3 linked regions of the Caenorhabditis elegans genome follow. The protein of the gene in region 1 purifies or fractionates together with the protein of each later gene. This does not show direct contact. Each region holds a gene or a part of one and is shown on either strand. Other genes may lie near its edges.

Evidence for each region. Proteins that work in one complex are often made in the same cells at the same time.
Region 2: the proteins of snr-4 (region 1) and ddx-15 fractionate together in Caenorhabditis elegans (co-fractionation; one large-scale study listed by BioGRID). This does not show direct contact.
Region 3: the proteins of snr-4 (region 1) and prp-9 fractionate together in Caenorhabditis elegans (co-fractionation; one large-scale study listed by BioGRID). This does not show direct contact.

The regions. Positions count from the first base shown.
Region 1 is NC_003283.11:11,975,878-11,982,500, reverse strand, and holds snr-4 (putative small nuclear ribonucleoprotein Sm D2), read left to right. Parts: upstream 1-2,777; 5' UTR 2,778-2,804; coding exon 2,805-2,812; intron 2,813-2,862; coding exon 2,863-3,036; intron 3,037-3,167; exon of another isoform or gene 3,168-3,188; intron 3,189-3,639; coding exon 3,640-3,814; 3' UTR 3,815-3,993; downstream 3,994-6,623. Other genes in the region: rpt-1 (26S proteasome regulatory subunit 7), read left to right, coding at 107-182, 229-332, 378-608, 656-1,198, 1,412-1,765; MIF-like protein mif-2, read left to right, coding at 4,097-4,150, 4,246-4,314, 5,024-5,086, 5,130-5,189, 5,353-5,451, 5,544-5,624; cpr-1 (Gut-specific cysteine proteinase), read right to left, coding at 5,804-6,126, 6,173-6,623. UniProt on the Caenorhabditis elegans protein: Plays a role in pre-mRNA splicing as a core component of the spliceosomal U1, U2, U4 and U5 small nuclear ribonucleoproteins (snRNPs), the building blocks of the spliceosome.
Region 2 is NC_003281.10:5,587,341-5,595,840, reverse strand, and holds ddx-15 (Pre-mRNA-splicing factor ATP-dependent RNA helicase ddx-15), read left to right. Parts: upstream 1-4,122; 5' UTR 4,123-4,134; coding exon 4,135-4,190; intron 4,191-4,245; coding exon 4,246-4,342; intron 4,343-4,389; coding exon 4,390-5,977; intron 5,978-6,029; coding exon 6,030-6,390; intron 6,391-6,431; coding exon of another isoform or gene 6,432-6,432; exon of another isoform or gene 6,433-6,444; coding exon 6,445-6,562; 3' UTR 6,563-6,779; downstream 6,780-8,500. Other genes in the region: ced-6 (Cell death protein 6), read right to left, coding at 1-70; ucr-1 (Cytochrome b-c1 complex subunit 1, mitochondrial), read right to left, coding at 1,710-1,774, 1,841-1,970, 2,021-2,231, 2,284-2,401, 2,453-2,510, 2,560-2,802, 2,847-3,046, 3,096-3,312 and 2 more; F56D2.2 (RBR-type E3 ubiquitin transferase), read right to left, coding at 6,780-6,983, 7,032-7,416, 7,465-7,563, 7,612-7,703, 7,751-7,864, 7,913-8,065, 8,117-8,395, 8,450-8,500. UniProt on the Caenorhabditis elegans protein: Pre-mRNA processing factor involved in disassembly of spliceosomes after the release of mature mRNA.
Region 3 is NC_003280.10:8,521,799-8,529,124, reverse strand, and holds prp-9 (Matrin-type domain-containing protein), read left to right. Parts: upstream 1-3,728; 5' UTR 3,729-3,730; coding exon 3,731-3,874; intron 3,875-3,923; coding exon 3,924-4,082; intron 4,083-4,149; coding exon 4,150-4,676; intron 4,677-4,727; coding exon 4,728-4,989; intron 4,990-5,048; coding exon 5,049-5,234; intron 5,235-5,279; coding exon 5,280-5,504; 3' UTR 5,505-5,631; downstream 5,632-7,326. Other genes in the region: gldi-7 (Sodium/potassium-transporting ATPase subunit beta-1-interacting protein), read left to right, coding at 573-805, 861-1,329, 1,531-1,653, 1,733-2,215; mrps-18B (28S ribosomal protein S18-2, mitochondrial), read right to left, coding at 2,437-2,820, 2,882-2,962, 3,006-3,064, 3,164-3,257, 3,338-3,436; cht-2 (GH18 domain-containing protein), read right to left, coding at 5,688-5,857, 5,904-6,264, 6,306-6,854, 6,906-6,975, 7,027-7,326.

The DNA.
Region 1 (6,623 bases):
GACGCGTCCGGCGACACTGAAAAATCATCAATTTTCAAAAGAGATTCTCATTTCAAAGCTTTTTCCATATTCATTTCTTCTAAAAATATTTGTTCGTTTGCAGAAAATGCCAGATCACCTTGGAGATGACATGCGCAAAACTAAAAAAGATGATACCAAGGAGGAAGAGAAGAATTTCCAGGGTATGTGGATATCGTTCAGGAAACTAATTCTGAAAATTGAATTTAGCTCTCGACGAAGGAGACATTGCTGTTTTGAAAAGATACGGGCAAGGTCCATACGCGGAACAGCTCAAAACATTGGACGCGGATATTGAAAACTGTCTGAAGAAGGTATTTATTTCATCGTGCTCCTAATTTTATTTCATTGTTCTACAGGTGAACGAACTTTCTGGAGTGAAAGAATCAGACACCGGGTTGGCTCCACCAGCTCTATGGGATATTGCTGCTGATAAACAAGCAATGCAGCAAGAACAGCCTCTCCAAGTTGCCAGATGCACAAAAATTATCACCAGCGACAAGCACGATCCGCGTTACTTGATCAACGTAAAACAGTTCGCTAAGTTTGTTGTAGACCTTGCTGATTCCGTTGCACCTACTGATATTGAGGTTTGAAATTGTAATTAGATTTCACACATAATTGAAAAATGATTCAGGAGGGCATGAGAGTAGGAGTAGACCGTAACAAGTATCAAATTCATCTTCCGTTGCCCGCCAAAATTGATCCAACCGTCACAATGATGCAGGTTGAAGAAAAACCAGATGTAACATATTCGGATGTCGGAGGCTGCAAGGATCAAATTGAAAAGCTTCGAGAAGTTGTCGAGACTCCACTTCTTCATCCCGAGCGTTACGTTAATCTCGGAATCGAGCCACCAAAAGGAGTTTTGCTCTACGGTCCACCAGGAACAGGAAAGACGCTTTGCGCTCGTGCCGTTGCCAATCGAACAGATGCTTGCTTCATTCGTGTTATTGGATCAGAGTTGGTTCAGAAATATGTCGGAGAAGGAGCTCGAATGGTTCGTGAGTTGTTCGAAATGGCTCGTACCAAGAAGGCATGTCTTATCTTCTTTGATGAAATTGATGCTGTTGGAGGTGCTCGTTTTGATGATGGACAAGGAGGTGACAATGAAGTTCAACGTACTATGCTCGAGTTGATTAACCAACTTGACGGATTCGATCCACGTGGAAACATCAAGGTTTGTCTTTAATTCTTTATGGAAATAACCCAAAAAAATCTGTAATATAAATTTATTTATCTCTTGCTTTCTTGAAGGCAGTTTATATCATTAGTTCAGTCCTTTCATCCAAAAAAAAAGACACACATTTTTCGTTTGATAAGTTTCCAAAAAATTAATGCTTACATGTATTGTAAATATGAGTGTTTCATTAAAATAATTTGATATTTTCAGGTGCTTATGGCAACAAACAGACCGGACACTCTCGATCCCGCTCTCATGAGACCTGGTCGATTGGATCGTAAAGTCGAATTCGCTCTTCCAGACCTTGCAGGTCGTGCTCACATTCTCAAGATTCATGCAAAACAAATGAGCGTTGAAAGAGATATTCGTTATGATTTACTTGCTCGTCTGTGCCCAAACAGTACAGGAGCCGAAATTCGCTCAGTCTGCACCGAAGCTGGAATGTTTGCAATTCGTGCTAGAAGAAAGGTGGCAACTGAAAAAGATTTCCTTGAAGCTATCAATAAGGTTGTCAAGGGATATGCCAAATTCAGCGCCACTCCAAGATATCTGACACATAATTAATTGTACCCTATTCGGTTTTCATTCTCTTTCCGGTCCTCGATTAACTTATTTTCGCCCGTCCACCCATTTTTTTTTGTACAGATTCCCCATGTCTCCGATTTTTGTCTTATTTATTACATCCTATCGTCGTGAGATGCACCCAAGTTGGCCCAACACTGTCAGATGTATTCGTTTCGATTTTATGGATAAATGTGATTGGGTTTCTGACTATTAAAACTTGTATACACCAGTTTAAATGAATCTGAAAACGTGCCATAAAACCTTTTCATAAGAAGAGTAGTAATCTAAACGCGATTACGGTGTAATGCCAGAAAAAGTAAGAATAGAAGAAATTGGCAAGCGTATTTTAATGGTACTAATATTGTGCACACTTTACCTAGGAATATATTTTTCATCTCTACAATGTTGACTAGCGCCCTGAATGCTCCAAGGATACTGTTTTCCAACTAAATGTTCAACTGTTCAGTATTTATATTCTGCCTCCTAGAGGCGTTCAAAAATTGCGTATGCCACCCATGTTTCAGGGGACATCGCGGGCAATTGGGAAAAGTTTTCAACCAGCAATAAACGCACCTCGGCAAAGCCTCATTGGTCACGTTATCGCCCCAGCGCAAAGCTAAATTCAGCAGCTCACTCAGCTGATCCTATAAAACACAGCAACCGACAAATCGCGGCTTTCGCGCACAATGGTGCTTTCTGCATTCTGTATTCTTCGGAATGCGGCGCGTGTGCGTTGCGGTCGTCTTTTTCGAATTGCAATCGCTCGCGGTTTATCGGAGTCTCTCTGTTTTCTTGAAACGAATCTCTTCCCTTCGATTAAAACTGCATAAAAACTAATAAAAATCTCAAAATTGATTTTTCTTCTACTTTCTTAAGATCTGTAAAGTTTCGTTCCTCCGAATTCCTCTTTATGATTATTTAGAAAACCTCGCCCAATACCTTATTCTTCACTCTTATCGGTATTTTTTACATGAAATTATCATTGATTCTCAGCTAACCAATTTAATTTCAGGGACTTCTATCAAAATCAACTTTGATCATGTCGGCGTGAGTTCACATTGTTTTCATTGACCAGTAGTTTAAATTTATTTTTACAGCCAAGCCAAACCCCGTTCAGAGATGACTGCTGAAGAACTCGCTGCAAAGGAGGACGAGGAATTCAATGTCGGACCACTCTCCATCCTCACCAACTCAGTCAAAAACAATCATCAAGTTCTCATCAATTGCAGAAACAACAAGAAGCTTCTCGGAAGAGTTAAGGCTTTTGACAGGTTAGGTTTCTTAGAAATACTATTAAGTAAAAACTCACAAGTATTTGTCGGTAGTAAACTTCAGACAACATTTTTTAAAGAAAAGTGTTTCAAAAATAATATTTGAATCATCGATAGTGAACGTATTTTGGTTGTCGTCTCGATGCTGTAGCAAAATATCATTTACTATATATAATGCATTTATTCCGTTTGTCCATAGTTTGTAGTCTGTGAAGGTTTGGCTTAGTGTAGGGATATAGTCGGGGTACTGTAGTGGTACAATAGTGGTACGGTAGGAGTACTGTATGATTATGGTAGTTTCAGAAAAATTAGTTTTCAGCCCCAGAAGTCGGGGCAGCGCCAGAGGTGCGGTCCACGGCTGGTAGATTTAATAAAACGGCACGATCCTCCTGTGCTGTAACAAATTGTCGTGGCATCAAATTATTCAAACACGTATTGCTACGATTTCCAAAGGGAAAACACAAATCTTACACTAATATAAGTACTTTCTCATTTGCCGTAACTTTCGTGTCCCGCAAAGCATGCAAAATTCCAAGAGGAGTTTTCTACTATTGTTCGTATAAAAATAATTGGAACGTATAGTCTAATTCTTTACTTTTTCAGACATTGCAACATGGTCCTCGAAAATGTGAAGGAAATGTGGACTGAAGTGCCAAAGACTGGAAAGGGAAAGAAGAAGGCAAAGTCTGTCGCCAAAGATCGTTTCATCTCAAAAATGTTCCTCCGCGGAGACTCCGTCATTCTCGTCGTCAAAAACCCACTGGCACAAGCTGAATAATTCACCTTCAGAAAATCTCCCAATCAGTACGGTTTTCTCGTATTTGTTATGACACCTTACAATTTTCGAAATTTTCACTCTTGTTCTTCCCCCTCCCGTTCACCCTGTTGTTTCGTTTCAATGATCATCATTTTCCACTTTTTATTTATTGATAAACGTTCCTATTTAATACCACAGTCGTGTTTTTTTCTGAAGTTGAATCCGTATCCTCGCGGCAGATGATTTTTGTAGTTCTGCGTGATTGTTGCTTGAACTTGAAACCGGTTTTTCGATTTTTCGTCGATGTTGACTGTCAGTGCTATCAGAATATCATCGTCTTTCGTCTTCAAAGTTCAGGTTACTATTGGTCGTTATTTTTTGAATAAAAACGCTATATTCCACGTTTTTCATGAAATGTGATTTATTGCCATATTCCAAAAAATCAATTTCAGAAACGAAAAATGCCGATGGTCAGAGTTGCGACGAATCTACCAAATGAGAAGGTTCCTGTTGATTTTGAGGTTTGTGTTTTAATCAAACATTTTCTAAACGACTCAACAAACACTGAACAGTCTAGAGAAAATTTGTAGAAAAAAACAAGTATTTTAAGAGAAACAAATATGGTTCCCGGTCTCGACACGACGAGTTTTTTCGTTGCGAGAAAGTGTGCGCCTTTAAAGATTACTGTAATTTTATACTCGAGTTTCTGCAGAATTCTTAAAGATTTTATATAGTTTTTCTCACAATAAGTTTTTCAATGAAAATATTTTTAACGAAAAACTATGAACAATTGATGAAAATTCCTCAGCAAGGGAAGTTTAAAATTACAGTACTCTTTAAAGGTGCACACCTTTTTTTTTGCATTTTACAAGCACCTGTCGTCTCGAAACCAGGTACAGTATTTTGGGACCACAACTTGGCAAAACAGACATGTTTTTGAAAAATAATATTAAGACAGTTCAGACAAATTTTTGAAATATTTTATATTCAGTTTTCGCATCCACAATTTCGGAAGTTGACCAAAAAGTGGATTTTCTACGAATTTTTGATATTTTAATAATTTTCCGTTTTTCTAGAGTATTGTACGGTTACAAACATGAACCATTGTTCCAAATTCTCAAAAGTCCCGAACTTTTCGTAGCGCCAATTTACCAAAGAAAACTTTCAAAAATCTGAACAAATGCCAACTTCACATAGTATTCCTTTTAAAATGTGAATTTTCAATTTAAGATTCGTCTCACCGATCTTCTTGCTCGATCAATGGGAAAACCAAGAGAGAGAATTGCTGTCGAGGTATATTAGTAATCTTTAGTAATTATTAACTTTAAAGTTTCAGATAGCCGCCGGTGCTCGTCTAGTTCATGGGGCCACTCATGATCCTGTGACCGTAATTTCGGTAAGTGACTTAGGAACACTTTCCAAAAGTAACACCTTGGTAAACCAAAACCTTTAAAACTACATTTAAGTTCCTTGTTACACTTAGAAAGGAAATTAAAACTTTATGAAACCATCCTTTTTCTGGCAGAAGTTCAAAATTCTCGCAATAATAAATTCTTTAGATCAAATCAATCGGAGCAGTGTCTGCTGAAGACAATATTCGCAATACGGCAGCCATCACTGAGTTTTGTGGAAAGGAATTGGGTCTTCCAAAAGATAAGGTAAGTGTAGTTTATGTCAAACATTTAAGTCACAAATATTTCGTTATGTTTTATTAATCAAACAATGGATTATTGATATTTCAAAATTTCAGGTTGTTATCACATTCCACGACTTACCACCAGCTACGGTAGGGTTCAACGGTACAACTGTCGCCGAAGCAAATAAGAAATAATTTTTGATGTCAGTTGTTCATAATGTGACTAGATTAATTTTGATTTCATGCACTTTTGTAATTGCTCTTCGTAAATTTTAATAAAGATATATATATTTCAGAAGATTTAAGAACAAATTTAAATTATGAACATTTTTATTTGGCAGATGGTAATTACAAAAATTGTGTACATAATGCATTTAGACCTTGGCCTTTCCGGCGACAACTGCTGATTCAATTCCGCATTGATCATCTCCACGGTAGATCTTGAAGAAACCGCTCTCTCCCCAGTTAACTCCCCATGAGTTGGCAACAAGCCAGTATGGAGATCCGCTCTCAGTTCCCCATCCGATGATCTTAATGGCGTGTCCTCCGAGGTACTTTCCGGCGGTGTGCTTGTAAACTCCGCTCTTGTATTTGTAGAAGTCTTCGTAAACAGAGAATGCAGCCTCAACTGGTCCATTAGCGTAGATTTCAGCTTGGATGGATGCAGCATTCTTTGGAACAGCGTAGGCAGAGACTCCTGAAATAATATAATTATTCCACAATTCTATGTAATTTTTACAAACCGAAGTGCTTGTCCTTGGCGTAGGCAGTTGAATATCCAGATTGGCAGCTCATTGAGCAAGATGGAGTCTTGGATTCTGGGCAGTTTCCAGATGTGCATGGGGCAATTGGGTATGGTTTGCATCCAGCTCCGTGGTAGTCTCCACCAGTAACAACTCCCTTTGAGTCCCACCATCTGAGAGCTTGAATTGGGTATCCTCCTTCACATCCATTTCCGCAGGAAGATCCGCAGCAGGAGAGAAGATCATCTGGAGAGATGATTGGTTGTTGGGCTCCCTTGGTCTCAATGCAGGTACGGTCAGAGATCATCTCAGCTGCTCCGAAAGCCCAGCAGGATCCACAGGTGGCTTGGTCACGGATAAGCTTGATGGACTTGCACTCGGACCATTGGGTACGAGAATCGAAGGTGGCTGGGACAGAGGCGAGAACAACTTCTTGTTCGGTGGCACGGAT
Region 2 (8,500 bases), on another chromosome or scaffold:
CATTAATATTATTTCCACCGACAATTCCGGAGACCGATCGTTTGAAGGTCTTGTAAATGTCTTTTGCCATCTGATATAGAAAAAGTTTAGAACATTTTTCGTTTAAAAAAATGGTTCAAAAAGTCTCAAGATTTCGGCGAAGAAATGGGGAGGAAAAGAGCAGAAAAGCAAACTGTGTAAACATAAAGAAAAGAAGAAGAATTGATAAAACGATGAGTCAGCAATGGAAATGATCATGAATTGGAGGAGAAATAGACGGATAAATTGTCGGAAACCGGATGATTCAATGAGTCAGTTGGAAGAGGGATCGGATAGATGTATTAAAGAGAGTCCATTATTAGAATAAACAATTTATAAAGGAAAAGGTTCTTTTGGTGGGTCCGAATGTAAATAGACTTTGAGTAAGTATAAACTTAGAAGTGGTACATAGGAGAGACGCAGATATGTCATCTTGTTGGGGTGAAAATTTTGAGAAATTCTGAAAGAATGTACTTGGAAAAAGAATTGAAATATAGTCACATGATATTTTATTAATTCATCGCAAGAGAAGAGAAAGAAATGAAACTTGTGATCGTCAAAGTGAAAATTGAAAAAAAACAAATTGAAATGTTTTTTGGACTAGAAAAAATTCAATCACGGGCTTTCACATAATATCCAGACAATTTTTGGACCAATAATTCGATAAATGTTCTCGACACGACAAATTTGTGCTAAATACGAGAAGGTGTGCTCCTTTAAAGAGTACTGTAGTTTCAAACTTTTGTTGTTCCGGAATTTTCATTTAATTTTAATGGTTTTTCGGGAAGTTTTTTTTTTAATTTAAATTTAAGTTGATCAATCAGGAAGTATGTTTTCATCGAAAAATCGTGAAAAACTGACAGCAACAAAAGTTGAAAAAACAAAGGTGAAACTACAGTACTTTTTAAAGGCGCACACTCGTGAACCAATAACACGACCATGTGTCGATTTACGCAGCTCGTGTACTTCTCGAGGAGAAGTGGGAATTCAGTATTCTACAATTTTACTGTTTCCTGTTAAAATTCTAGACTTTGGATCATTTTCGCTGATTTTTATTGAAATAAAGAATTACTAATTACTACTTGAAATGACAGTTAGTTTTTTTTTCAAGATTCGAAAACTTTCAGGTAAGAAATTAGCTGTAAAATGGAACGATGCTATTATTATTTAACGCCAGTCACCTATATACAGAAAGTTTCGCGTAAAGTGGGGTTCAGTAAGCGGATAGCCTCGGGTGAGGCTGACAATAAGTGTGCGAACGTGGTCAAGGCCAGTCAACCGGTGGACAAGAGATGCAATGGATCGGTCGGAGACGCAGATATCTTTCCGTCCAATTGGGAGTGGTCTTGTTGTGTTTTTTTTTTTGCATCGGGGGAAAATTGAGGGCGCTGATTTGATGGGCAGACAATCTCATCAGGAAATCATTCAGATATTATAATTCTGCAGAAAATAATCGAGCAGATATACATTTTCTGGCACAATTCGTCAATTCATTCATTTTACTCCGAACCGTACAAACAAATAACGCTACTCTAAATTAAAATTAATTTTTGGAAAAAGAAAATAAATGAACAGCAAAAAGTTTTCTAAAAAAGTGTATCTGACAACAGATAGAGAGAGAGAGAGACGGTGAACGAACAGCGAAAAGTACATAGGGAATCCGAGATGAGGAAGACGTCATCGTTCACTGCTTACATTCTCCACCACGACATACCAGCGCGAGTAAGGGCGTAGTTGGGGAAGGCTTCTGTGCGACCTAGAAAAGAGAAATTGTTTGCAATTCTCATAATGTAAAAACAACAGCAAGTGGAAAACTACTCACCAACTCCGACAGCAGCAAGATCACGATCGTACACATGTCTTGAAATAGCCTCGCGGACAGCTCCAGCGTCAACCTTTTGAATTTGAGCTTCAAGTTCTGACAACTGTCTGAGATTTCCGGTGTAAAGAAGCTGAAAATAATGAAATAACTATCCATAGCATTTTCTGCAGAGTAACAAACCTCCTTAGCGTTAAATCCAGCCTTTTGTGTGTTGGTCTCGAGGTTCTGGTACAAGTTGGTTCTGAATTGGTTCTTGGCCATGGCGACTTCTTCTTCTGTGGCAGCAGAGGCCAAATGCTTCCATTCGTGAGCAACAGACTTCATGATTCCGCTGGTGTCGTTCAAGTCGTGAGCATCAGCAACAAAGTAGATTCCGAACAATCCAGTGTCTCTGAAAAAAAGAAAATAAAAATTTAAATAAGCTTGCAAAAAAAGATACTTACTTGTAGTTGATGTTGAAATGCTGGAGGTTATGGACTCCGTGGTCGTGTCCGATTTTTTGGACAAGTCTGGAAGCAGCTGTTCTGGATGTAGCGTGGGTCACATCCCATTGGCCTAAAACTCATCAAAATTACGGTTTGAATTGAAAAATTCACACAAAAGCCAACTTACCAATGAATTGATTGGCAATTTGAAGAGCGAGAGCATCTTTGTGGGCATATCCAACACCCTAAAAATGAAGTAAAATGAAAGACTGAACACACATTTATTATTTGTACCTCAACAGCGAAAGCAGCATACATGTGTGGGACATTATCGTTGCGGTATCTGTATTCAGATCCGGTGAATCGTGTTCCATCGACCTGTGGAACCTTTCGTGGGTATTCGTTGCTCAAGTCTCCGAAATATTTATCGGCGAGGCTTGAAACATTGGAAACTCCTCCTCCGACAGCGGACAGAACCATGCGCACTGGTCTGTAATGATCCTCTTGCCACTCCTTCAATTGTTGAGCAGAGATATTCTGAAAAAATAATCAACTTTATGTAAACCCAAATAAATACTTACTGGAATGCTCTCACTGGTTCCGAGAACGCTGAGAGCGAGTGGGGTGCCTTGGAATCCGGCAGCGTGGAGCATATCGAAGAGGACAAGCTGATGATAGTCATCGGAAGCTTCGAGCTCTTTGAGAAGATTAACTCTTTCGGTATCGATGGTTGAGGCCTCAAGCTTGCTGTTGCGGAGAACATCGGCGAGGATATCGACAACTGAAAATTTTGGAAAATTAACACAATTTTATAAGTTACAAATATTTACCTTTCTCAACATCTTGAGCTCCAGCTTGGACAAAAACTGCGGTTTGGTCACGCTCAGTGAACGAGTTGAGTTTTGCTCCGATAGCATTAAGCTCGGATTCGAGAGCAGCAGATGCTCTCTTTCCAGTTCCCTTGTGGATCAATCGCTCGAGGAAATGTGCGACACCGTTGTTCTTCTCGTTCTCAAAACGAGATCCGGTCTCGATCCAGACTCCCACCTACAATTTAAAACAAAAGAAATTTTAGAAAACTAGTGGGCAAAATTACGGTAGCGGTGGCGGATCCATTATCTTCGGTGACAACACGGAAGCCATTCTTCAAGGTGGTAACTTCAGCTTGTGGAGCGCTGGCAAGCACGTCCTTCACGGAGACAGCTGATGAAGCATTGCGAACCTGAAAATTAATTAATTTAATTAGATTTTCTACATTATCATCGTTGTTACGTTCTCCATGCGACCTGTGGGCATACAACTTTCAATTTTATTTTCAATTAAGAGTTTTTATTTCTCTTTTAGCAATCTCACAAGAAAATTACCTGGCTATTGAGAGCCGGACGCAAAGCAGAGCTGACGGCGAGTCTGAGAGCCATTCTCTCAAGTTTTCCCCTGTTCTCTGAAAATAAAAATATATAAATAGGATATTAATCGATAGATAAAAATTCAGAGAACATTATTTTAAATTGAAAAACTTGAAAAAATATATCTGAAACTCGAAAAGAAGCTGAAAACAACTAAAACCATCAAGCCGCCCAGCAGTGCAGAGACGCAGACAGCGGAATCGCTTCGAGACCCACCGAAAGTTTAAAGGCGCACCCGTAAATCGCTCCATACTTATTCCGAATATATTCTGCGAAATTCTGTCTTTTGTTCCCAATATCTCTATATTTGCTGATTTTCTCCTTTTTCAACTAGTTTTCTTAATTTGTCATACATTTAATCCATTTATCCTGCGCGTAGCTTTTCGAAATACCTAATATTTTCGTATAACGCTTTATAAAGCCACTTGAAACTCTAATTTTCCTATTGAAGGAGAAACTTGCGATGTCTTCGAGACACCGATTGGATTTAGATGGCAGCGGACGCGGAGACAGAAGAAGGTAAGTAAAATTGTTGCTTCCCCAGTTCAATATAATAATAATAATTTATTTTCAGATCTCCTAACCGCAGATCCCGATCCCGCTCCCGATCGCCACACAGACGCTCCTCCCCCGACCGGAAAAGACAGATTGGGGCAGTTGGAAATATGAAGGTATTTTTTAGTAAACGAATTTTTGTTTCTCATCTCCAAATTTACAGATCCAAATCAATCCATACAACAACCAGCCATTTAGTAACCGATATTGGGCAATTTGGGAGAAAAGAAGTCAATTGCCAGTATGGGAATATAAGGAAAAGTTTATGGAGCTGCTCCGGAACAACCAGTGCATCACTCTTGTCGGAGAAACGGGATCCGGAAAGACCACGCAAATCCCACAGTGGGCCGTCGAGTTCATGAAGCAGCAGCAACAAGGACAACCACCCGGTCAAGCGAGATTGGTGGCTTGCACACAGCCTAGACGGGTCGCTGCGATGAGCGTTGCGACAAGAGTTGCTGAGGAAATGGACGTAGTTTTGGGACAAGAAGTGGGATACAGTATTCGTTTCGAAGACTGCATCAGCGAACGAACTGTTCTCAAATACTGTACAGACGGTATGTTGCTGCGAGAAGCAATGAACAGCCCGCTCCTCGATAAGTACAAAGTCCTTATTCTCGACGAGGCTCACGAAAGAACACTCGCCACAGATATTCTTATGGGACTGATCAAGGAAATCGTGAGAAATCGAGCTGATATCAAGGTCGTAATCATGTCCGCTACATTGGATGCAGGAAAGTTTCAAAGATATTTCGAGGATTGCCCGTTGCTCAGTGTTCCCGGAAGAACATTCCCTGTTGAGATCTTCTTCACTCCAAATGCGGAGAAAGATTATCTAGAAGCCGCGATCAGAACTGTAATCCAAATTCATATGGTCGAGGAGGTTGAAGGTGACATTTTACTGTTCCTCACTGGTCAAGAAGAGATCGAAGAAGCTTGCAAAAGAATAGATCGTGAGATTCAAGCCTTGGGAGCAGATGCTGGAGCACTCAGCTGCATTCCGTTGTACTCTACACTTCCCCCAGCAGCACAGCAGAGAATCTTCGAACCAGCACCACCAAATCGACCGAATGGAGCAATCAGCAGAAAGTGTGTCATCTCTACAAATATCGCTGAGACATCATTGACTATTGATGGCGTTGTCTTTGTTATCGATCCTGGATTCTCGAAGCAAAAAGTGTACAATCCAAGAATTCGTGTCGAGTCGCTGCTTGTTTGTCCCATTTCGAAAGCTTCTGCTATGCAAAGAGCTGGACGCGCCGGAAGAACAAAGCCAGGAAAATGTTTCCGGCTTTACACCGAAACGGCTTACGGATCAGAAATGCAAGATCAAACATATCCTGAAATTCTTCGGTCGAATCTCGGATCTGTTGTGCTGCAGCTCAAGAAGCTCGGAACCGAAGATCTTGTGCACTTCGATTTCATGGATCCTCCCGCACCAGAGACATTGATGAGAGCGCTGGAACTGTTAAACTATCTTCAGGCGATCAACGACGATGGAGAGCTCACTGAACTAGGAAGTCTGATGGCTGAGTTCCCGCTTGATCCTCAGCTCGCAAAGATGCTTATCACATCCACTGAACTCAATTGCTCAAATGAAATTTTGTCGATCACAGCAATGCTCTCGGTTCCGCAGTGCTGGGTTCGTCCCAATGAAATGAGAACAGAAGCCGATGAGGCGAAGGCTCGGTTTGCACATATTGATGGAGATCATCTCACACTTCTCAATGTCTATCATTCGTTCAAGCAGAGTAAGTTGACTTTGTTTTTCTTTTTTTCAAATATTAGTTTCGCATATTTCAGATCAAGAAGATCCGCAGTGGTGTTACGATAACTTCATCAACTACAGAACTATGAAAACTGCCGACACAGTCCGCACACAATTGTCGCGTGTTATGGACAAGTACAATCTTCGACGTGTCTCAACAGACTTCAAATCTCGAGACTATTATCTCAACATCAGGAAAGCTCTTGTAGCTGGATTTTTCATGCAAGTCGCTCATCTGGAACGAAGTGGACACTACGTGACGGTGAAAGATAATCAGCTCGTCAACCTTCATCCATCCACAGTTCTCGATCATAAGCCGGAGTGGGCACTCTACAATGAGTTCGTGTTAACCACAAAGAACTTCATCAGAACTGTAACTGATGTGCGCCCTGAATGGTGAGTTAATTTGCAAATTATATTATTCAAAACCTAACTAGATATGCGTTTCAGGCTACTTCAAATCGCCCCTCAATACTATGATCTCGACAACTTCCCAGATGGAGACACGAAACGGAAGCTGACTACTGTGATGCAGACCCTGCAGAGAAACGCTGGCAGAGGCTATTGATGCCTCCGAATCATCTGATCTCATTTCCCCAAACCTCTTTTATCCCTATTGCCCCTTGTCAAATTTTTTGATTGTTTCTATTTATTTTTTGTTTATTTCTTACCCCTTTCTTTTAATTCTATTTTCACTTTTAAATCAATCACCAAATCTAAAAGGATGAACTATTCATTTTATTTGACAATTAATCCGTAAATTTAGAGAAAACCGTAAAGTTATGTTAATTAAAGAAAAGCTCGTCAAAATGTCCTTCTTGCTCTAACCAATCCTCCGCATCAATATCTTCGTCGGATTCAGGATACTCGACGGTCTCATCACTGTCATAGTCACTACCGTCGTTAAATGCCATATCGAAAAGAAGATCGTCATCGTTATCTAGCAAATCGTGATGAACTCCTTCGAACAGACGTCCAGAGCATGATCCCTGAAAATGAAAAATACATTTCTTACACAATTCTAAGAAAAAACCAACATCTCCCTGAAAATGCTTATAAGGATCTTCCTTGTCAAGAGTTTCAGAGCACAACCAACAGAAGTAGGTGTCACACTTCGTACAGTGCATCTTGTGGCATCCTTCATTCTTCTCTATGCTCACCGAGCACTTGGGACACGGTTTGCTGTTCGAATCCAGCCATTCCTCATTGAGGAACCGCTCCACAAGCTCCTCGACACGCTTCTCTCCTCCAAATTGCCTGCACATTTCAGCCTTCTCAGCTTCATCTCCATCCTTCCATCTTTTGACAAGAAGCTCTTTGTCTCCTTTCTTCCATTTGCAGCGTTCTATTCCGTGGAATGTCTGCTTACACAGATTGCAGAACGAAAAGTTACAGTAGGAGCATTCGGCCAGGAAGCGTTGTCTGAAATGTTCTTCTTTTTTACATTTATTTTTATATTTTAAACTATACCTATCCGTGACGTAGGCGACTTTTTGACAATTCTCTCTGGGACACTCCACGGTGTCTTCCATCTCTCGAATCGCCTTCTCCAGCATAATCGTCTCGTATCTGGCGGAAATTCAAATTTGGATTTTTTTTTTTGGAAATGTATCTCACTTTGCATATAAATCATCTCCGAGTGCCTCCTTAACCGTATTTTGTTGTGCTTCACTCTTGCATCCTTCTGCTAGACACTGCATGGCTTTTGACTGTAAATGATCCAATTTTTCCAAAAAAAAAATCGATTGGATCTTACCACAACACCTTTCGATATTGTACGATAATAATCGAAAGTACATTGTTTGCAGAAAACGTGAGAGCACGGCTGGAATTTGATGCAATGTTGGCCCATTTGAGAGTCGTAGCATACCTGGAAGATTGAAAAAATAGTATAATTTTATAACTACGAAAAAATTACTTCACAATCGAAAAGTGTATTGACAAAGTGCTCTTCAGCAGCTTCTTCGCCTTTTCCAAGAATTTTCTTTTTCAGCGATTCAATAGTTTCTCCATTGTTTTTCAGCGCACACGCCTCGTTCAGATTGATGATTTTTAGGTGAGATTGGTCTATCTGAAACTTATTTTTATATATTTAATTTGTTAAAAAGAACAAAAAACTAACCGAATCAATTATCGTTTGATAGCACATAAAAAGCACCTCCATCATCTGGTTTTCCTCGCAAATCCTTGCCAACTCGGTTTCACAAGATGTCATTTGTTCCTGATTCATCCAATAACTTTCCAGTTCAAGTTTTGGTGATGATACTGAGGGATAATCATTTGGAAGATGAAATTTCAATCGGATTGGTGGAAGAATGTCTAGGGGGATGGAAAAATGATCGCTGGAGTCAGACGTTCCTTCAATTGTGACTTTTGGATCGGATAATGTGTCAAATCCTACCTGAAATCAAGAAAAAATTTAATAATAAACTTCTTTATACGCTCAATATTCTACTTCAATTATTCCCCGAATTTCTGCATTTTTATCCGCCCAATCACTGATTCT
Region 3 (7,326 bases), on another chromosome or scaffold:
TGGTATTGTACTTCATTGCTCCACTTCGAAAAATTATATCCAATTTCTACATATCATAACTTGAGCAATGGGGCACAGCACTGATAGAGAAAGTACAGTAGTTCGAGTGCACCAATTTCTATATCCAATTAAAGAAAAAATATGAATACATTAATATTCATAATAAAATATTTATTTCCAGTCTTATTATTAGTTCAAATCGCCCAACCTTGCCACTTTTGGCGCCATCATTCTGTACATAGCCATCTCAATAACCGTACCGCCCGTTATTTCTGACATCGTGATTAAATATAACATGAGTAGGTAGAGACACTCCTGCTTATTCTCTAGATAATTGCCAGTTTTTCGACGAAAAATTGTGTCTGACCTCGACTATCCTGTCTAATTATGGGCAGGGATCGGGAAAGAATGGTTTGCAAAGTTTACACAAAAATATTCATGTTTTTGAGGAAAAACTGGGATTAATGAGATTAAGATTTCCTAGTATTTCTAGAAGAACAGAAAATTTTCAGGGAAAATTGAAAGTGTGAATATCATAAATTGATAGGAAAGAACAAGTCGAATATTTTCAGATTGTCTTGCTGATCTCGGGTTTATTCGGTGCTACTCAAAAACGACGTCCACTTCTTTACACTCTCCTCTCATCAAATGCTCTTTCCGTTACAATCAATGTGCTCATTTTCCTATGGTATATCGGAGTCTTCGGAGAAATTTCAAGACCATATCTTTCGGCTGGACTACCGTACTCTTCTTCGTTTTTCTTAAGATTCACACCATATTGTGATGCCGAGTTTGATGTGATAAGGTGAGCGATTTCATTTATTCTAATTGGAAATATGAAATAATCAAATGATTTCCAGAAAGAAATGGGTTCAAAAACAGTGTCTCATTCCATTCTACTCAGTCGAAGCATCTCAAGCAATTCTTCATATTATTTTTGCAATCGTAACTTCAATTTTCTCGATCTTAGTGATTGTGGAACTTCGAAAGAAACCAATAAGATCAAATTCCCAATCAATTAACCATTATGCTCAAATATGTGCATCAAAAGTTGCCAAAGCTCCAAGTTCCACGAATAATTCTAGCAGTGGATACCTCAATTCACAATATGACGACTTAGGATCTTCGAGAGAAAAAGTGAAAGTGACAGAGAAAAAAGAAGTCAAAGGACAATTCGAGAGAAATTCAAAGAAGAAGAAAAAGAATCCACGTCCAGAAATGCCAGCTCCAGATTGTGCTCCGTGTTCTTCAAATAGATCATCAGAAGAAGAAAGTAATTTGGAGGATGTGTACACACAGCCAATTAAAAAGAAAATTATGCCGTTGAGAGTAAGTTTGTTTGTTTTGAATTGGTTAAATGTTTCCATTTTCTATAATTTTATACATGATTTTCAAGTCGTTTTAGGTAGAAACTTTTGGCTACAACTTTTGAAAACTTGATGGTTAATTATTAAATTAGTACAAAATGGTTACTGTAGTCATTTAGTTGAATAAAATATTTCATTTCACAACTGCTATATTTTCTTTCAGAGACCTGACCTAGAAGAAGAAAATCGTGGAACTAATGTCACATCATTAGTCAGCTTCGACCCAAAAAGTGCGACTCTTTTGCGAATACGTCAGCATTTGGAGGCAGAGCCATCTGATAGAGATGTGAGTTTTCATGAATGATTTTCTATACAAAATATTTATATCAAGAGTTCATAGTTGAAATAATATCTATAATTTTCAGACGCCAGACTACGATATGTACGAACGACTCCGATCAAGATCTTCTGGACACTCTGAAGTTGCACCGGCTTCTACTATCCCTTTGAGTTCTGACTATAAATCAAGAAATGCTTCTCAAGATTCGGTTCCTTCAATGTTTGCTCCGATGCTCAACTCTCCAGCCCCATCTTCTACAACTTCTGGATCTTCTTCTAGAACATCTGGAGCTTCGTTGGCACACAAAACTCACATTGTTGGGAAAGGTGGAATTTCGTTATCAACTGTTGATCCATCCCCGATTCTTTCTCCAGGAATACGGTTATCGGAGCAACTAGGAGCCAAGAATCAGTCTTATAAAAGTGCATTCAGGGTCCAGAAAACTGAAAATGCTCGTGTTATAAGTCACTATCACGCTCCCAACGAAATTCCACTTTCCAGTGATCCATCGGTTGTTGAGAATGAATCTAACTATCCCGTGATGACTAGTGGTGGACTTCTTGTTTAATTTTGACTCAAATCTCATGTCTTGCCGTCTTTTTCTAGGCACTATATACGGGTTTATTCTTTCTTTTTTGTATTCTTTCTGCTTTTTTTAAAATAAATGTTTAAATAATTGAGCTCAATTTTTATTAGAACCAACAACAAGTGATAACAAATTACGATAGAGACCTACTAAAATTCGAAGAAAATTGCTGAAAACCGAACACGCTAGGAAAATTAAAACAATTACTTTGCCTTCTTGGCAAATTTATCATGACGAATCCACCATTCGTCCCAGTCGTTGTTCTTGTCATTTTTGAATGTTGGGAAGTGAACAAGTGGATCTGGATGAATATCTTGCAGACGTACACCAGCTCTCTCAACAGGCTTTCCAGGTTCATCTGTCCAGCTTTTGTACCATTGACGATAATCAAAGTTTCGGAATTCTACTCCAAATGTGATTGTTCCATGTTCTTTTGCTTTCAGAAGTTGTGCACGAAGTAGCGTGTACTGTTCACGACATAGTCCACTCTTCAGGATATCGATTGGTTGGTCGGTGCCATCTGCCAAAAATTGTTCAATGAGACCTGGGTTTCGGTAGTCGAAGTATAGATATTCGTCACGGCACACCTGTAATTCGTGAATTTGTTTGTTATATCTGCAAATGTTAGTTGCTGTTACAAAAACTTACTGGACAAGCATGATTTAGATTGAATCGGCCGTGTTTATCAATGCAGAAAAGTCTTGGAGGTGGTTGAAGTTTCGATTGACCCTGAATTTTCAATCAATTTATTTATTTTTCGAATTCAAATTACCTTGATGTTTCTCTTATACCATCTGTAAATCGGAAGTCCTTTGTAAGCCTCTGCGTATCCTGAAATATATTAAATAATTTAATTTTTAATTGGCATTCATGAAAGCTGTACACAAAGAATTCCTCTTATTTTGTTTTTGAAACTAAATTGAATATTACCTCGACTTTTCATATAGGAAATCTGCTCGGCAATACTGTGTTGTGGTTTGTACATTCCCTTCTTTCGTTCAACATGATTGTAAGCGTATCCGGCCTGAATATATCGATTTTTAAGTAAAATTGTTTATAAATTTAACATAGAAATTAGTTTAGTTCAAATATATTATCAGTTACCTCTTCTGGAGTCGGAACTTCTTTAGTTTTTCCTTCGCAAGCCAATCGGCAGGAAGAATGAATCAGCCTTCGTGCGAATGATCCCCCAGTGGCTAACATACCTGAAATACTGACTTAGACAACTTTTAAACAATTTAATTATATTTAAAAAGTACAAGCTTATAGCTTTAAATTACAATTAAAAACTTAAAAATAAAATAATATACTTTGTGCGTCAAGTTAAATGCGGTGTACGCAAGGAATGTGTGTTCACCGTCACGTCAAGTTGCACATTTTCGAACATCTTATTTTTCTCAAATTTTTATTCTTCTGTCTTGTTTAATCTTTTTTATGAATAGTTATTCACTAATTTAATATTTTTTAAATGTTTAGTTGTAAGAAAACTTTACAGAAATGGATTCGTGTCTAGAAACCATCAGAAACTTGCACGAGGAACGGGAACGATTAATCGATATAACTGTTAAGGAAAAAATTGCAGAAAAGTTAACGCATAAGGCCAAAGTTAATAGCGAACAGCGAGTGAAAACATTTGTCGATGTAAGAAATAACTGTTATGTTATTTCAATTCAATATTATTATTTTTCAGAGGTACTATTCAGTTTCCGCCGAGCTTGCCAAATTTTATAAAGATGAAGACGGTTCGAAGAGCATGGAAATGGATTCAGTTTCTGGTCCAAATGAGTTCGCCGAATTTTATTCAAGACTGAAGGTCATCAAAGATGCGCACAGAAGAAATCCAGACGAGGTTAGTTTTGTTATTTTCCCCGGAAACAATTAAGTTTGGTTGTAATATAATTTCTATACATTTTCAGCTTGCCGAACCACTCACCGTGGAGTTCCAAAAAATCAATGAAGAAATCATCAACCCTGAAAGAGCCGAGCCAGATATGGTTGAATTCAGTGATGAAGAAGCTTACGGTCGTTTTCTAGATCTTCATGCACAATACGACAAATTCATTAACTTGAAGAACATCAAAAGGGTTGATTACATGACGTATTTGTTGAATTTTGAGAAATTCACAGAGATACCGAAAAATACTACCAAGAAGACAGGAGCATATAAAGAATACATCAATTCCTTAAAAGACTATCTTGTTTCTTTCATGCAACGAACTCGCCCACTCCATGATCTCGATTCAGTTTTCTCTGAGGTTAATCAAACTGTAGAAAGAGCATTTAAAGCAGGGAATCTTCCTGGTTGGGAAGCTGATAAAAACAAGAACGGACCTCAAGCAGCTGCTGTGGATTTATCTCCATACAATAGTGCTGAAGAACTCGAGGGATTGGGATTGGAACGTTTGAAAGGAGCTCTCATGGCAATTGGTCTGAAATGTGGAGGGTGAGTTAAAAATATTTGGATTTTTTAATTGTAGTCCTCGTTATTTTTCAGAACTCTGAAAGAACGCGCTGATCGTCTTTTCGCTACCAAAGGGCATAAACTGTCAGATCTCGAAAAAGCAGCAATGTCTTCAAATAATTCCGATGCCGAAAAGCAGAACGCTAAAAATTTGACATTGGCACAAACGGAAGCTCATATTATGGCACTTGCTGATATTCTAGCTGAAGAACGTACTGGAACTCGCGAAAATGTCGAGAGAAAACAAGCTAGATCTGCTGGAGAGGTCGAAGAAGAGGAGGAGGAGGAAATTGTGGTAGGTTTGAATTATTTTCTCTAGTTATTTTTAGAAACATTTAAAAATTCATTTTTTAGATCGAGGAAGAGGAAGAAATTGATGAGAGTGCACCATATAATCCAAAAAATCTACCGCTTGGTTGGGATGGAAAGCCAATTCCGTATTGGTTGTACAAACTTCACGGCCTCAATCTATCATATTCATGTGAAATCTGTGGAAATCAAACTTACAAAGGTCCAAAGGCGTTCCAAAAGCATTTCAACGTAAGTTCATTATATTGGTCTCGTTCAAAAACTTGATATTTGCAGGAGTGGCGACATTCTCATGGAATGAGATGTCTTGGAATTCCGAATACCTCTCATTTCGCCAACATTACGAAGATCAAAGATGCACTGGATTTATGGAATAAATTGAAAACCGAAAAGGAGATGGCTAAATGGAATCCGGACATCGATGAGGAGTACGAGGACTCCAGCGGAAATGTGGTCACCAGGAAGATGTATGAGGATTTGAAAAGACAAGGACTTCTGTAGACGCTATTTTATGTATTCCATTGTTCTTCTAAGTTATTTTTTTTCCTTTTTAATCTTACATTTCTGTAAGTTTTTAACCAATTGGTCTCATTTTTCAAATTTAATGGATAAACTTTTTTGTAATTTTAGTACAATTGAAATAATTTATCGGTATATACAGTTTCAGATAAGTAGTGAGAAAGTTTAATACTCAAATGCAGGATTTGCCTTGAAATCAGCACATCCTAAACAGCTACAATATTGTTCTCCTTTTCCGCAATAGCCACTATTACTGCAACAGTAGGATTCAGAATCCGGATCACATTTTGGAATTTTTCCAGTAGAAAGTCGTGGAGCATTGTAACCACAACGACCTGAAGATATATTCTTATAAGTTGAATTGAGGGCCTGTTCCCTCACCAACGTTGGCTGGATTCTCAGAAAATGTCCACCATTCTAATGGTTTATATTTGAAATCTCTCTGTTTTGCAAAATCAATACATCCATTACATTCACAATGTTCCTTTGAATTTCCACAGTAACCTCCATTACTACAACAATGAGCATTAGCATCATCTGGATTACAAGTTGGCGCTTCTCCTTCTAAAGGTGGAACATCTCGACCACATCGTCCACGTTTCCCTTCTCCAGCATCCGATGTGTACCATGTGATCTTTTGGCTTGGTTTCACTGGTTCTTTCAAAATTAAATTTGGATCTGCACCATAGTCAATACATTCAGGACAAGAACAGAATTCTGCACCGGAACCGCAATAGCCATACTGCAAAACGGTATTATGAAGCCTTTCACGGTGGTACTAACCTTTCCACAACAAGCATGACCTGGATCATCTGGATCACAAACGGGATAATATCCATCAATCAATGGAGACGATTTTCCACACATTCCAGCCAATTCCTCATTATCATCATATGTCCACCATCTTTTGTCGTCTACTGGAGAACACTTGTAGTTGAATGACTTTGTTGATGTGGTACAAATAGATTCAGCTGCAGCAGAGTTCAGAAGGGTACCTTGATCATCATCAAAGTCAATTGCCCATATCATAACTCCTCCAATATTATTTTCAACTATATAATCAACTTTATGTTTGAGACTTTCAGCATTTTCATATCCAACAAAGGTTTTTTGTTCAGAAAGCCAAATGAATGGGGTTTTGGATCCAGAATGAAACTTGGTTTTTGTAGTATCAAATTTCTCGTGCAGATCTCTCCATTGAACATCTCCACCTTCAAATTTTGTGCCTTCTGAATTAGTTGCCGTAGCAGTTCTCCACATATCATCTGTTGAGTCAACAGCATCACCCACATTCTTCCAGAAACGACCATAGAATGGGACACCCATATTTATCTGGAAGTTGATTAACGGTTACGGTAACTCAAATACCAAAATGTTTCTTACCTTATCAGTTGCTTTTATTTGGCAACTGTAGTCTTTCATCGTGGCATGTACGTTCATTCTTCCAGAGAATCTAAAAAATTATTTCGTTGCTCTTCGCTTCCCCTTACTAATTTTAGCTCACTTTTTCGGCATAGCAAACTGTAATGGTGCTGGGGGTCCAGTGTATGCACCCCATTTCGAAGCCCATGCTCCAAAATAATCATAACTCATAACATTCACAAAATCACAATATTTCATCAATTGTTGTAGATCGTATCCTGGTTTCAAGACCCAATGTCCTGCTGCTCCAGCGAACGATATGAGATACGACTTTCCTGTTTCGGATTCCAAATCTCTCAACTCATTTCGAAGTTCTCTCATCAAGTTTACATAATTCCTTCGATCAGCTGGAGTACCCTCAACAGCACCGCCTGTTACGGGA